Linked DNA regions of Struthio camelus. The protein of the gene in region 2 purifies or fractionates together with the protein of the main gene of each other region. This does not show direct contact. Links are inferred from orthologs where the notes say so. Each region holds a gene or a part of one and is shown on either strand. Other genes may lie near its edges.

The links. Proteins that work in one complex are often made in the same cells at the same time.
Region 1: the proteins of GAN (region 2) and NUDCD3 purify together in Homo sapiens (co-immunoprecipitation; 3 studies listed by BioGRID and IntAct, counting the BioPlex papers as one, with this or other methods). This does not show direct contact. The link is inferred for Struthio camelus from reciprocal best matches to the Homo sapiens genes GAN and NUDCD3.

The regions. Positions count from the first base shown.
Region 1 is NC_090968.1:1,537,467-1,544,363, forward strand, and holds the start of NUDCD3 (nudC domain-containing protein 3), read left to right. Parts: upstream 1-3,889; 5' UTR 3,890-3,978; coding exon 3,979-4,176; intron 4,177-6,897. Other genes in the region: PGAM2 (phosphoglycerate mutase 2), read left to right, coding at 1,246-1,426, 1,731-1,900.
Region 2 is NC_090951.1:6,219,726-6,227,008, forward strand, and holds the start of GAN (gigaxonin), read right to left. Parts: upstream 3,016-7,283; 5' UTR 2,920-3,015; coding exon 2,753-2,919; intron 1-2,752. UniProt on the Homo sapiens protein: Probable cytoskeletal component that directly or indirectly plays an important role in neurofilament architecture.

The DNA.
Region 1 (6,897 bases), on a different chromosome or scaffold from region 2:
CCCCTGCACCCATGTCTGCTCCCCCTGCACCCGTGTCTGTTCCTGCAGCCCTGCCTGCACCCCCTGCACCCCCCCTGCACCCATGTCTGCTCCCCTGCACCCCCCCTGCACCTGCAGCCCTGCCTGCACCCCCCCTGCACCTCCCTGCACCCGTGTCTGCACCCCCCGTAAGCCCCCAACACCTGTGTCTGCACCCACAGCCCTGCCTGCACCCCCAGCACCCGTGTCTGCAACCCCCTGTAACCCCCCCGCAGCCCTATCTGCACCCGCAGCCCTGCCTGCGCCCCCCCACAACCCCCGCTGCACCCGTGTCTGCACCCGTAGCCCTGCCTGCACCCCCCACACCCATGTCTGCACCCGTGTCTGCACCCATATCCTGCCTGAGCACCCCCTGCACCACTGCCTGCACCCCCAGCGGTGTCTGCACCCCCCCAGCCCCCATATCCTGCCTGCACCCGTCTCTGCACCCTACATGCAATCCTGCCTGCAGCCCCACGTGCCCCCACGTGCCCCCACAACCCCACTCGCACCCTGTCCCCCCCCCACAGCCACATCAGGCCATGGGGACAGGAAGGGACGTGAGGGGACAGGGACATGGAGGAATGGGAACGCAAGGGAATGAGGATGGGGGGGCTTGAGGGCATGGGGGGACACGGGGGGATATGGGGACATGGGGGGATGTGGGGCGATATAGGGACACGGGGGGACATGGAGGGAACAGGGATGGGGGGACATGGGATATGGGGACATGGGGGGAACGTGGACATGAGGGGACATGGGGGGATATGGGGACATGGGGGGAACATGGACATGGAGGGACACGGGGGGTCATGGGGAACATGGGGGGATATGGGGACACAGACTGATATGGGGGGACACGGAGGGAACAGGGATTGGGGACATGGGGGGAACATGGACATGGGGGACATGGGGGATAGGGGGACATGGAGGGATAAGGGGGGACACGGAGGGAACAGAGATGGGGGACACGGGAATGGGGACGTGGGAGCACGTGAGATATGGGGACATGGGGGGGATGTGGACACGGGGGGACACGGGGGGATATGAGGACATGGGGGGACGTGGGGAGATATCGGGACATGGGAGGGACACGGCAGGAACAGGGATAGGAGACATGGGGACAGGAGGGGAACGTGGACACGGGGCGACACGGAGGGAAGGGGACGAGGGGAGAGAGGGGGACAGCAGGAGGGTAACGGGGCGGCACGGTGACCCCCCCCCCAGGACCGGCGCTACGCCGAGCTCAAGCCCGGCGAGCTGCCCAGCTGCGAGAGCCTCAAGGACACCATCGCCCGGGCTCTGCCCTTCTGGAACGAGCACATCGTGCCCCAGATCAAGGCCGGCAAGCGGGTGCTCATCGCCGCGCACGGCAACAGCCTCCGCGGCATCGTCAAGCACCTCGAAGGTGGGTGCCAGCCACCCTGCCGGCGGCCCCCGCGGGTGCTGGGTCTCCGTTCCCCCTGCCGCTGAAGGTCAAGGCTATTTCCAGCTCCTCTGGCCTTTCCTCTTTCCCGGCCGGCTCAGGTTTCCCCCCTCCCCGAAGCCGGTTGGGTTGCGTTGGGTTGGGTCAGGTTGGGTTGGGTCGGGTTGCGTTGGGTTGGGTCAGGTTGGGTTGGGTCGGGTTGGGTTGGGTTGGGGGGGGGATCTGGGCGTCCCCACCGACCACCGGCTTGACGCGCACGTCCCTGTCCCCCAACGCCGCGCCGCAGGGATGTCGGACGCGGCCATCATGGAGCTCAACCTGCCCACGGGCATCCCCATCGTCTACGAGCTGGACGCGGCGCTGAAACCCACCAAGCCCATGCAGTTCCTGGGCGACGAGGAGACCGTGCGCAAGGCCATGGAGGCCGTGGCCGCCCAGGGCAAGGTCAAGAAGTGACCGCCCACGAGGGGTGCCCGTGGCCGTGTCCCTGTCCCCCTTTTTCCCCCTTCCCCCTCCCCAAAATAAAGGCTGGCTGGGCCCCACCGCGTCCCACTGTCTGGCTGCCGCTGGGGTGGGCCCACGCGGTGCTCCACTGCTGGGGGGGCTGGGGGAGGTCCCACTGGCTCTCTTGGGGGACTAGGGGGTCCCACTGGCACTATCGGGGGGTTAGGGGGTCCCACTAGGTCTCTTGGGGGGGCTGGAGGGGTCCCATTGGCACTATTGGGGTCTGGGGAGAATCCCACTGGCTCTCTTAGGGGGCTGGGGGGTCCCACTGGCACTATTGGGGGACTGGGGGGTCACACTGGGTCTCTTGGGGACCTGGGGGGGGCTCATTGGCATTATTGGGGGGCTGAGGGATCCCACTGGGTCTCTTAGGGGGGCTGGGGGGTCCCACTGGCACTATCGGGGGGTTAGGGGGTCTCACTAGGTATCTTGGGGGGCTTGGGGGTCCCATTGGCACTATTGGGGGGCTGGAGGGGGACCCATTGGCACTATTGGGGGGGTTGAGGGGGCTGGGGGAGGTCCCATTGGCACTATCAGGGGGCTGGGGGGGTCTCATTGCCATTATTGGGGGCTGGGGGGTCCCACTGGCTCTCTTGGTGGGTCTGGGGGGTCCCATTGCCTCTATTAGGGGCTGGAGGTCCCACTGGCTTTCTTGGGGGGGGCTGGGGGGTCCTATTGTCTCTCTTGTGGGCCTAGGGGGTCCCATTGGCATTATTGGGGGGTTGGGGGAGTCCTACTGGGTCTCTTGGGGGGACTGAGGGGTCCCATTGGCTCTACTGGGAGGCTAGGGGGTCCCACTGGCTCTCTTGGAGGGGCTGGGGGGGTCCCATTGGCTCTATTGAGGGGCTGGGGGGTCCCACTGGCACTATTGGGGGGCTGGGGGGGTCACATTGGGTCTCTTGGGGGCCTGGGGGGTCCCACTGGCACTATTGGGGGGCTGGCGGGGTCACGTTGGGTCTCTTGGGGGGCTGGGGGGTCCCACTGGCACTATTGGGGGGTTAGGGGGTCCCACTAGGTATCTTGGAGGCTGGGGGGGTCCCATTGGCACTATTGGGGGGCTGGGGGGGTCACATTGGGTCTCTTGGGGGGCTGGGGGGTCCCACTGGCACTATTGGGGGGTTAGGGGGTCCCACTACGTATCTTGGAGGCTGGGGGGGTCCCACTGGCACTATTGGGGGGCTGGGGGGGTCACATTGGGTCTCTTGGGGGGCTGGGGGGTCCCACTGGCACTATTGGGGGGCTGGGGGGGTCACATTGGGTCTCTTGGGGGCCTGGGGGGTCCCACTGGCACTATTGGGGGGCTGGCGGGGTCACGTTGGGTCTCTTGGGGGGCTGGGGGGTCCCACTGGCACTATCGGGGGGTTAGGGGGTCCCACTAGGTATCTTGGAGGCTGGGGGGGTCCCATTGGCACTATTGGGGGGCTGGGGGGGGCTCAGGCGGCACTGGGGGGGCTGGGGGGCTCCTGCGGCACTGTGGGGCAGGGCGGGGGGACCCCACGGGCACCGCGGGACCCCGAGGGGTCCATGGGGCCGGAGGAGGGGGGGGGCACTGACCCCTGGGGCCGGGGCCCCGTGGGAGGCGCTGGCCGGGCCTGTCCCCGGGGCACCCGGCACCGCCATTGCCGGCCACGGCGGGCGGCGGGAGGCCCTGGACGGCGGCGGGGGCTCCCGGCTCCCCGGGGGCTCCGCGGGGCGCCATGGGGCCGCGGGGATGGCGGCGGCGACCCCCGACCGCGCCCGCCCGACTGCCCACAACCAAGATGGCGCCTGCCGCCTCGCCTGCCGTCACGTGGGGCGGCGGCGGTCTAGCTCGGCCTCCGCGCTCGCTGCCTCGGAACCTTGCCGCGCGGAGCGGGAGGGCGGGGGGGGGAGAGGAGGGAACGGTTTCCGGACGGGCCGCTGAGGGCGGCGGGCCGCTGGCGGAAGCGCGGGGGGCGCTGTCGGGGGCGGACCGGAAGCGCCCGCCGGGCCCGGTTGCCGTGACAGCGGCGGCGGCGGCGGCGGCGGGGGGGGCGAAGGCCGGAGCCGCCATGGAGGCCGCGGCGGCGCTGACCGACATGTACGACCAAGCGCTGCTCGGCATCCTGCAGCACGTCGGCAACGTGGAGGAGTTCCTGCGCGTCCTCTTCGGCTTCCTCTACCGCAAGACCGACTTCTACCGCCTCCTGCTGCGGCCCGGCGACCGCCTGGGCTTCCCGCCCGGCGCCGCCCAGGCCATGGCCCTCCAGGTACCGGCGGGGCGGCCCCGGGCCTCGCCGCGGCCCCCCGCCCCGGCTCGGCGCCTGAGGGCCCCCGAGAGCGCCCCCCGCCGCGGCCCTGCCCTCCGAGCCGGCCCCGAGGCCTTGGAGGCCTCAGGGTGGCCGGTGGCCTCGGGAGGGTCGGCGGCCGGGCCGGGCTGTCGGGCAGGGAGGCCTGAAGGCCCCGTCGGTTGCTGTTGTCCTTCCCGTTGAGCTTTGCAGGCGTGTTTGCGGAGCGACGGTCCCCGCCGTCTTTGCAGGGGTGGATGTCTCACCCGGTGCTGGAGCCGGAGGGGAGAGGGTGGCTGCCTGGACCTGCCTTGTAGCAGCAGCCTGTGGGGCAAGACCCAGGAAGGTGGGGGACCCCGAGACCAGGAGGCCACACAGTAAAGCTCCAGCTTGCTGCTGCTGCCTAGTATGCTCCTTGCTGTTCCTCAGAGGAGCAGGGGCAAGGTGGGAGAGGTGTCCTGGCAGATTGATGGGGGAGTGGATGGCAAGGATCGCCCTTAACAAGAGGACAAGGAGCCCCAAAGGGCAGGCAGGGCCTGTGAGGCCTTCGCGGGAGGAGCTGGGGCCTGATGCCCTCTCGGAGCTCAGGCAGTGTCGAGGGCAACAGGCGAAGAAGGCAACTGCCAGCAGCACTTTGGGCAAGTGGGGTTCGCTTTAGGGCTCGCCAGATGCTGCTGACCCAAACTGCGGGAGCTGGGGCTCCTGGGTAGCAGGAAAAAGCGAGAAGAGACTGTGGATGTCACGTGGAGGGCAGGGCCTTTTTGCGTTGCTGGTAGCAGTCAGAGAGACGGCAAATGCTCCAAACTCTTGTTTCCACAGCTGAGCTGGGCTGGGCTTGGTATTTTGAAAACTGAGCGCTAGAGGTCTCTGACTCAAGGCTGTCGCAGTCTGTTATTAATCTTTATTAGGAAGGAGGAAAAGGGCTGAGAGAGATGGGGGCCTGGCTTGGTGGAGGTGTTCATCTGCTCAGACTAGGGCTTCTTCCCAGCTCTGGCAGCCCGTGGACACGAAGCGGTGGCAGACAGGCCGATGCGAGACCCCGTTCCCTCTCCCTGCGCCCACCCTGGGGTGGCCCACGGCGGGAGGGAGCCTGTGTCGCCGACCCCCCGGCTGGCGTGTCCCTGTCGCCCAGGGTTGCACCCTGCCGCGGGCCTTTGCCGCTTAGCTGTTGTGGTGGCTCTCACGTTTTCCCCAGGGACTGTTTTGGGCTTGTGTGCAAGGAGGGAGACCACAACGCTGTAACCTAAGTATTTCTCTCCCGAGAGAGATGTTATTTGAGGCTGCCGTTTGCTTGCTCCCTGGCCCTAGCCATGAGGGTCTGGAGTGAAGAGACTGCTCGAGGCATAGGGTGGTGTGGGGTGCTTCAGAGGGACTTTTTGTCCCCTCTCCTGGCTCGGGGCTTTGGCTGTAGCCCGAGGGGAAGGAGATGGGTTTGAGGTGTCACCCTGGGTGATCTGCCTCAGGCTGCTTTGAGCTTCGTTTTTGGTGGCGGGTCAGGGGAAACGGTCTATGAATAGCACGTTTGAGTCATGGCCTGGGATTCCTGTGGAGATGTAAGGTAATGCCGTGCCTTGACCTCTCTCGGGGAGGGCGATATCTCTCCGTTTGGGATATTTGCCCTTTAGACTGATCTTGGCTTCACCCGCTCCTGCCCGGGGTCTGGTCGCAGAGCAGCTGCCGCCCTCGGAGCAGCCGCGGGGCTATTTTCATCAGCTCGCTGCCAGGCTGAGCGGGCGCTGCCGGCGGGGTGGGCGCAGGAAAAAAAGGCTGTGAGCTCGAGAGAAGGAGCTGGGGGTGGGCACTGAGGAAAGCCGGGACACGGAGGAGTGGGGAAAAAGAAAGGGATCTCAAAGGGAGAGGAGTGGGACAAATGTCCATCTCCCTCCTCTCCCTTCTCTCGGGCTGCTTTGTCCCGCAGGCCTCTTCCCTGAGCAGGGAACAAGCTCTGGTTAAGGGGAATAAGGCAGACCCAATGTGACGCTGCGCGTGTCCTGCTGTAACAGCACTCGTGTGAGGCCTCCCCGCACTGCCCCCCCTTGCCTTACAAGTACCGAACACAGAGGAAGAAATCAGATCTGCCGGTGCTGCTGCACGCCCTGGCTGGCCTGGGTGTGCCTGGTCCCCGGCCTAGGATCGGTCTCCTGCGGGAAGCGGAAAGCGCTGAAGTCGGCTCGGAAGTGTTCCCCGGCAGTGTAGGGAAGGGAGCGAGGACTGTATTTGACTCTCGCTTGCTTTCTAGCCCAGGGCGGGTGTTTACCCTGACGAGTTGCACGGTTCTCTGTTGACTGGAAGGAGTTTTAGCTCTGAGGAGGAGGTGGGGGCACAGATCCATAGTCGTCGTACCTCCGTCGGCTTCGGCGCTGCTAGGCTGCTCTGTCCATGTGGCAGATTTGCCTTTTAACCTCCAGCCTGCCCTAGATGGTCACAGCGTCTGCTCTGAACGGCTAGAAGCAAACTTGAGGGTGGAATTATATCTTGTCATACCGTTGCTTCACCTCCCTAAGAAAGAGTGAAGTGTTGGAGTCTGGTACTGTTGCAGGGAGCAGGTGGGCTCAGTTCCCTCTGTGGACCAAACTGAGTTGGCTTATTCGGTTTTGAGGTGTGCTGTGCAAATGCCTGAAATCTGGGGTGAAGCAACAGGGCTCTGCTTTGATGTCCTTTCCCTTGACTCGTTCGGGAGAAAATGCTATCTCCTCGCTGGGG
Region 2 (7,283 bases):
GCCAAACAACTTCCATGCAAAACTAAAAAACAGGTAACGCTCCTCTCTCTGTGGCCACACAAATCCCTCAGCGTACAGACTCTGCTCACACCCAAGCCGCCCCCTCAGAAAATCCCATGCTTACTTATTTTCCCGCTCACACCCTAAACTAAGCGTTCATGCAAACCCTACACAGCTTCTCAACTTGCCCACCAACTTGCCCACAGCCAGAGCCAGAAACAGAAAGCAGAGCGCCAACTAGTCCTGCCACTGCTCCACTGCTAAGGGTAAATATCCCATACCCACCCATTTCTCCACCCAATAATATTTCTGAAATTAGTTACTAGATTTTCTGAGTTTTATTTTGGAACTTTCAAATGAAAGCAACGGAAATCAATTGATACTTGGAGACTTAAACAGACCTTGGAGACTTAAACAGCTTTGGTACCAAGGTACCAAAGTACCAAAGCATGCTTTGGAATCATCTAGTCTGCAACATAAGATTCATGAGTCTCCTCTAATAACTTTTTAGATTTAAAAAAATAAAAAAAAAAACCACACACTCATTCTATTAAAAAAAAGACTCAAAAGAAATGGGACTAAATATTTGCAGAAACTAGGGACAGGCTAACGGTGATTTTTGGCTCTAAAAAGAGTCACTGGAATGCTAATTTTGGCTTAGAAACTTAATTCTCCAATACCAGCAACCAACCCAACCAATTCTACTCAATGGAAAGAGCAGCTGGAATAAGAAAGAGATCCTGGAGTGGTGGAAAGAGGAGAGACAAGCAGCACAGGTAAAAACTAGGCTCTGCAAAGATAGGTAAGACAGATGAGTTTATATGCCATAAAAAAAAAATCTGGTATGTGTTATTTATGGCTCACTACATGTTGCAAGCCCAAGGAGAAAAGATGAGTAAGCTTAAAAAAAAATCCCATTTATATATCAATACGTGTAACCTACTTCACACATAGTTAATGAGTTCCTTGATGGCATCTGAACTTGAAAGATTTTAAGTTTAAAACACCACAACTCTAATAACTACACTGACAACAACAAAACAGTCATGTTTGGCACTCTGACTCTTCGCGTGTGCTTTATTAGCTCAGGTTTCCTAGTAAATTTTTCAGAGGTGAATGACAGAATGCAATACTTAAAGAGGAGATTCTGTGAAAAGGAACTTTTCTGTAGAATAATTTATGATATCTTTTAATTAAGTAGCCTTTTTCGTAGCAAAAGATTACACAGTTCATATAAACCCATACAATAATTACAGTAAAGTAGCAGTTTTTCCAAGACATGGCCTCTTTCCACCTAAACCAAACCTTTTTTCTCAGCCAAGGAGTCTTTGTTAGGACACTAACTTCAGATATGATGCAGGGCCATCTAAAAGATTCGTAATGACAAAAAACAAGCTAAAAAACATTCTGGCATTTTTGAAGAGTACTGGATCAACTGCTCATATTTATTTCAACCTCATGTCTCTGATTAGCCTTTCAATATAGTCTTCCATAACTGCTTCTCAAGACAGGAATTGAAAAAATGACTACTAGTACTTCAGCTTTTTAGTGTCATTTTGCAGGTCCTTGCTGCTCTTCTTATTTCCGTGAATTTTATTTCATTTTACCCCTCAGCCCTGCTAGCTGATGCATAACGCTAGTCCGTGTACTATGGAAAAATCAGGCGCTTAGATTTGAAATATCAGAAAACCTTTCCTTTAAGCCTGTCCATTACTGACATCTATTTAAAGCTTAATCACCAACTTTACGTTCTATTCATTCCTAGTTTATTTTTGTACTTAAGAATGTCGAAGCTCTGCTACAATCATCACTCAAAAATATCACACAGCCTAAAAGCACGCAGAATTACACGGCCGACGTCTGCTACAGTCTTACGATAACCCTAGGTGTAAGTAAAACCGAGGGGTGCAGTCCTTCACATGCTAAGGCAAAATTAAAGTCTCCATTACCTGCAATTGCTAAGACCTATCAAAAAAGAGAAACAATAAAACTATGGAACTCAACCCCTGTACGTTTCATTCACTCTCTCAGATCCGTACTATGAAAATCTTCCCACCGGGGTATGCTTTTTCTATTTTACGCCATTGGCGCCTTCACCGCTGAGCGTACAGGAGAGCCGACAGCGCTGCCCGGGGAGCGGGTTGCCCTGGAAGTTCGGCCCAGGGCAAAGGGCGCGCCGGCCCCCGGGGCACCATGACTGTGCTGAACGCTGCTGGTCCTCCTCTGGCTCGGCTCGGGCCGCACGTGCCGCTGACGCCCGCGGACCTGCGCGGACCTGGCTTGATGCCGCTGGCAGTTTCTGAGGTAGATTCGCACGTATTTGTGAGGGCATAAAAAAAAGAGGAGATTTTTTTTTTTTTGGGGGGGGGGGGGAATAAACCCGTACAGTTTCTTCACACTTAAGACGGGGTGTATTTCGGAATCCGTCACCACCGCCTGGAGCCTTAGGTGTTGTTAGAAGGAAAAAAAAACCCACTCATTAAAAAAAAAAACCCACCCAAACAACAACAAAACCCCCACCAAAGCGCCGGCCTCACTTGGCGCCTCCGGCGGACGCGGAGCCCAGCGCCGACAGGGGGGCCCCGCTCGCCGCCGGGGGGGGGGGGAGAAAGGCCCGGGGGGGGGGGGGGGCCGCGTTTCGGCGGCGCCCAAGGGCAGGCGGGGCCCCACCGCCAGCACCCGCCGCTCCCGGCCGAGTCACGGCGCCGGGCCGGGCCGTCCGTCGTCCCGCGCGGCCCCGCTCCCGCCGCACCTGATGTAGGGGCTGGCGGCCGCCAGGATGTTCTTCTGCACCGGGATCTCCTCCCCCTCCAGCACCAGGTGCGCGTCGCAGAAGCGGCTCTCCTCGCGGAAGGAGCTGAGGGCCCGCAGCAGCCGCGCCGGGTGCTGGGGGTCCGACACGGCGCTCGGCCCCGACATGCTGCCGCCGCCGCTGCCGCTCGGCCCCGCACCGCCCGCTCTCAGCGGCCGCGCACCATGGCCGCCGGCCCGCCGCCGCGCCCTGACGTCATCTCCCCGCGCGCCTGGGCGGGGCCGCGCCGCCCCGGGGGAGGGCGCGGGGGGGGGGGCGCGTGCCCGCGGCCCTGGGGCGCGTGCGCGGCGTCGGGCGCTGCGTGGCGAACAACGTTTTCCTTGTTGCCCTTTGGCGCTCACGTGTGACCGGTAGAGCCGTTTCCCCCCCCTCCCCCCCCCCACGGTGCGCACGCAAAACGCTGAAGCGGAGGAGGGTTAAACCGAGCGAGATGCCGGTGCAGGGAGCGGGCTGGGCCCGCCCGCTGGCCCTGCGCCCCTTTCCGGCAAATGGATTTGCTTTAAAAGGACTTCTCACGAGGTTTTAGGCCATGTATTTAACATACTTTTATTGCACGTTAGGGGATGGCTTGCTTCCACCTGTTTCTTTTTAATAGCGTCCAATAGTTCAGGCGTGAAACTCCGAATTTGCACCAACTGAAAGTGTTTTAAAAGCTGTCACCTACTTGAGTGTCGTTTCAGCCGGCGCTGCCGAGAGGAGGCAAACACGGGAGCGCAGCACGGGCCCAGGCGACACCTGAGGCGGCCGAGTCGGGTTCCTTAGCTTGTGAAATACCCTGTTGCAGGAGGAGATCTCTGTCTTTCCACTGGGGGAAAAACATGTTAGGTAGCGTGCTTCTATTATTTGCCCTCCTTTAAATCAGTGATTTCAGGCATGGCACTTAAGAATATGTCTATTTGAAAGGGGGAAAACTTAAAATTGTATTCTGTAGTTCATCCTAATCCAGTCTGGTAGTGTCACTGGAAAAATTAGAATAAAGGTATCTCAAAATGTCAGCCCGGGAAAGAGAAACGAAGGGCTTTACGCAGGCAACGGGGTCGTTGCAGAAGCAGACACCATGCTGTGCTGTTCTCCAGGTGGAGATTTCCCTGGGGCGTCCGGCACACGGACACCTCGCTAAATCCAAACTCTGCCACAAGTGTTTGCTCCAGAAGAATGCGAATAGCCCATTTAAGGCAGCGTTTTGGGTTCGCCCTCGCTCAGGTGCAAGGGAGCTTAGGTGCTTCGCTGACCGGAGAGGGAGGGTTGCACCGAGAGCAGTAGCGTGCTCCAGGCTTGCTGTGCGGCTTTGAACAAGTATTTTACAAGAAACGGTGAACGCGTTTCGCACACTGGCATGATGGAAGGCATAAAAACAGACTAATTCCTGTGAAACACCAGCTGCGCATGATTGGCGTAACGCAACATACCCACGTAAAAATATTAGAAGGCCACTTCTTCTGGCTTGGGTGTAATTATCCAGGACGGCGACTGTCCTCCTTCTGAGAGATGCAGAGAAGGCACATCCACAGCTCTCATGACAGCAGAGAGTGCTCTGCATCTTGCACTGCTGGCAAAAGATGTATTCTGCCTGATGTAATTAATACTTTGGTAATTGCATACTCAAGGGAGTAGTAGTTTAAAGTATTGTGAAAGCTGTCATTGAGCAGCCTGGTTATTTAAAAAGAAAAACACTGGCTTGTTTCTATGCCTCCTGCATGGATTATTATGTAGGAAAGCACAGTTGTATTTCTCTTTATTTATTATTTTTATTATTTTTCTCTTTGTATATATATTTAGTAAATAGGTCAAGTTAATTGATTCTGCTCCTGCTGTGTATGTGGGGCAATGGGACAGATAATATCCACTGTGACAGGACAAATTAATTATTATGTTTTGTTATTTGTTCCATTTAATGAAACCTGTTGATAAAAAAAACACTGGTAGGGCACAACTAGAGGGCTGTTTGTAACATCTTTGAAGTAATTATATGTATGCACACTTATGGCCTGATTCTGTTGCTCAACAATTTCCTGTTATTTTACATTTATAGAAGCTACTTATTCATACTATTTCTATTTGCAGTCACTGTGTCTAGATTCTTTTGCCATTAAAATAACTCCGCTGGTCTCACGGTGCTAATTTATGACAAATAAACATATACATTGGTGCAAAAGACGACTCAGACCCTTCTGTCCCTCAACATTTAATTCATAGTGAAGGATGTCAGGGAAGCACAGCAAATGACAGACTCGCTACCATCTGTCATGTTGCTACAACAGAAAAAAACCACAAGTCTTGCAGTCACTTGGCAAAACTTACAGGCATTCCCCACGGGTTTTGTCAGCCTGGACATGATATTGTGTATTACCGTCTTCACCTTAAATGTTTCACCAGGCTACTAGTGCAACTGCTAAAAACATTCTTGAACAAATTTGCGATTAAACATACTTACAGTCTGAACCACGTTGTTTCTGGTGCAGTAGGACCTGGATCGAATACTTGGATTGGCAAATCTAGATTTACATCACTATGCTTCTCTTTTCAGGTTGATTGCAAACATCATACTAATCACATCCTGTGTAATTTTGACCAAGTAAATACAGTGCACTTTGTTCTTTAAGTTAACTTTAAAAAATCATACCCCAAACAAGTTCTTGTAATTTATCTTCTGATGTCTTTCTAAATGAACATAACGTATTTGTTTTCTTAGATGTTAGATAACAAATCTGATTTATTTTTTGATGGATGTTCCCATATTATGTTATTTCTGTCCAGTGTGAATTACCTCCTCAGAAGCCAAGTATCTCCTGTATCCAAAATCATGATCATCCAAAAACATAAAACAATGTATTCCACAGATGAAATTCTGGACACAAACTCTTAAAAAGAGGTTTGTAATAGTGGTCAGACATTTGTTTTATGAGCTCTTTATAACTCCAGAAATCTTTATAGTAACTTTTTAAATATAAACTTTTGCAAATTAAAAAAACAAAACAAAACAGCCCTACAGCTGATCTCTTTTAAGTGGTACTTTCCCAATGTCAGAAATCATTCTTCCATTTTAGTCCTGCTTCCATGTTACTTATACAAATGGAATTCAGTTTCTCCTTTAGATGATAAAGTTCTCTTAAATAGTAGTGGTAATAACACCTTGAAAACATCAAAGATGACCATTTCTGCAGACATATCTTGCTGAGGTGTTTATTTCCATTTTATGGAATATATAAATATTTGAACACCCACAGCTGCATACCTAAACTCTAAATTCAGACCATGGTGACACTTTCTACGTTAAAAATAGGCTGTAGATTCTTTATACTTATAAACTGTAAAGACTTAAGCAGAGGAAGGGAGGTACCGCTGTTACAGTGCAAGCAAGAACCGTGGAAGATGTTGCTTCAATTTTTGCTCTGCCGTAAACATCTTATGCAATCATGAACAAGTCACCAAAGGCCAGATTCTCATCTGACAGGTAGACAGAAAATTACAATGATTTCATTCTGTTTCCTACCTGTAAAAAAGAGCGAGTAGCAGAGATGCTGTGATGATGGGTATATTGAAGAGCTGAAGTTACCCAGATCATGTGATGATACATACAGACCAAGCGAACACTGAACAGGGATAGATGTACCGCTAATTTTCTTCAACAGTAAAAGGATCTAAAATAGGAAAATGCAACTTAAAGAACAAAGGCTCTCATTTAAAGAAAAATCCATGCCCCAAATCCAAAACCAGAAATACACTCATGGGCCATTCCTATACCAAAAAAACAGACATAGCGTACCAGGTGTTAGAACTCTGGGTTGAAAGATGCTTTTTAACTGTGAGTGTGAATGAGAGAATTGTGTATTTCTGTTAGGAAGCATCTGTTAAAGGCAATGATCAGCCTGCATCAGAACTTGGATGCTCCTGAGCAGATAATAATGTAAATGCCTAGACAATAACAACAACAACACACTGCAGTTTTAGCTACTGAGTGGTTCAGATTAGGTCTAAATTCAGTCTTTCACTCTTCTACCTAAACAATTTGTTGAACGTGTGTATCTCAGTTATGCTAGAAATACACTGTTCTCATTCATATGCCTATTGTTATTAACAAAGAGACAAAAAGACAATGAACGGTATTAACAAATATTACCTTTTTATTTATCTTTTAGACAATGCAATCATCTAATTACTTGAAATGTCATATCAGATATTATCCCCAAGCAAAACTGATTTAAATACAAACTGCTTATAACATTGGGATTGAATACTGCTAAAGTGTAATTGAATGCTACATAAAACCATATATTCTGTTTCAAGTTATTCATTTTTGTCATCATAAAAAGGAAAAAATATACCATAAAACTATTAGCAAAGCAGATTTTTTTAGGCTGTAAATTGATGTAGCACCTCAGTGTAATACTTAACTTTGGTTATAGCACAGTTCATGAAATCAAGCACCAAGAAAATGCATTGCCATGAATTATTAGTATCATAGCAAATA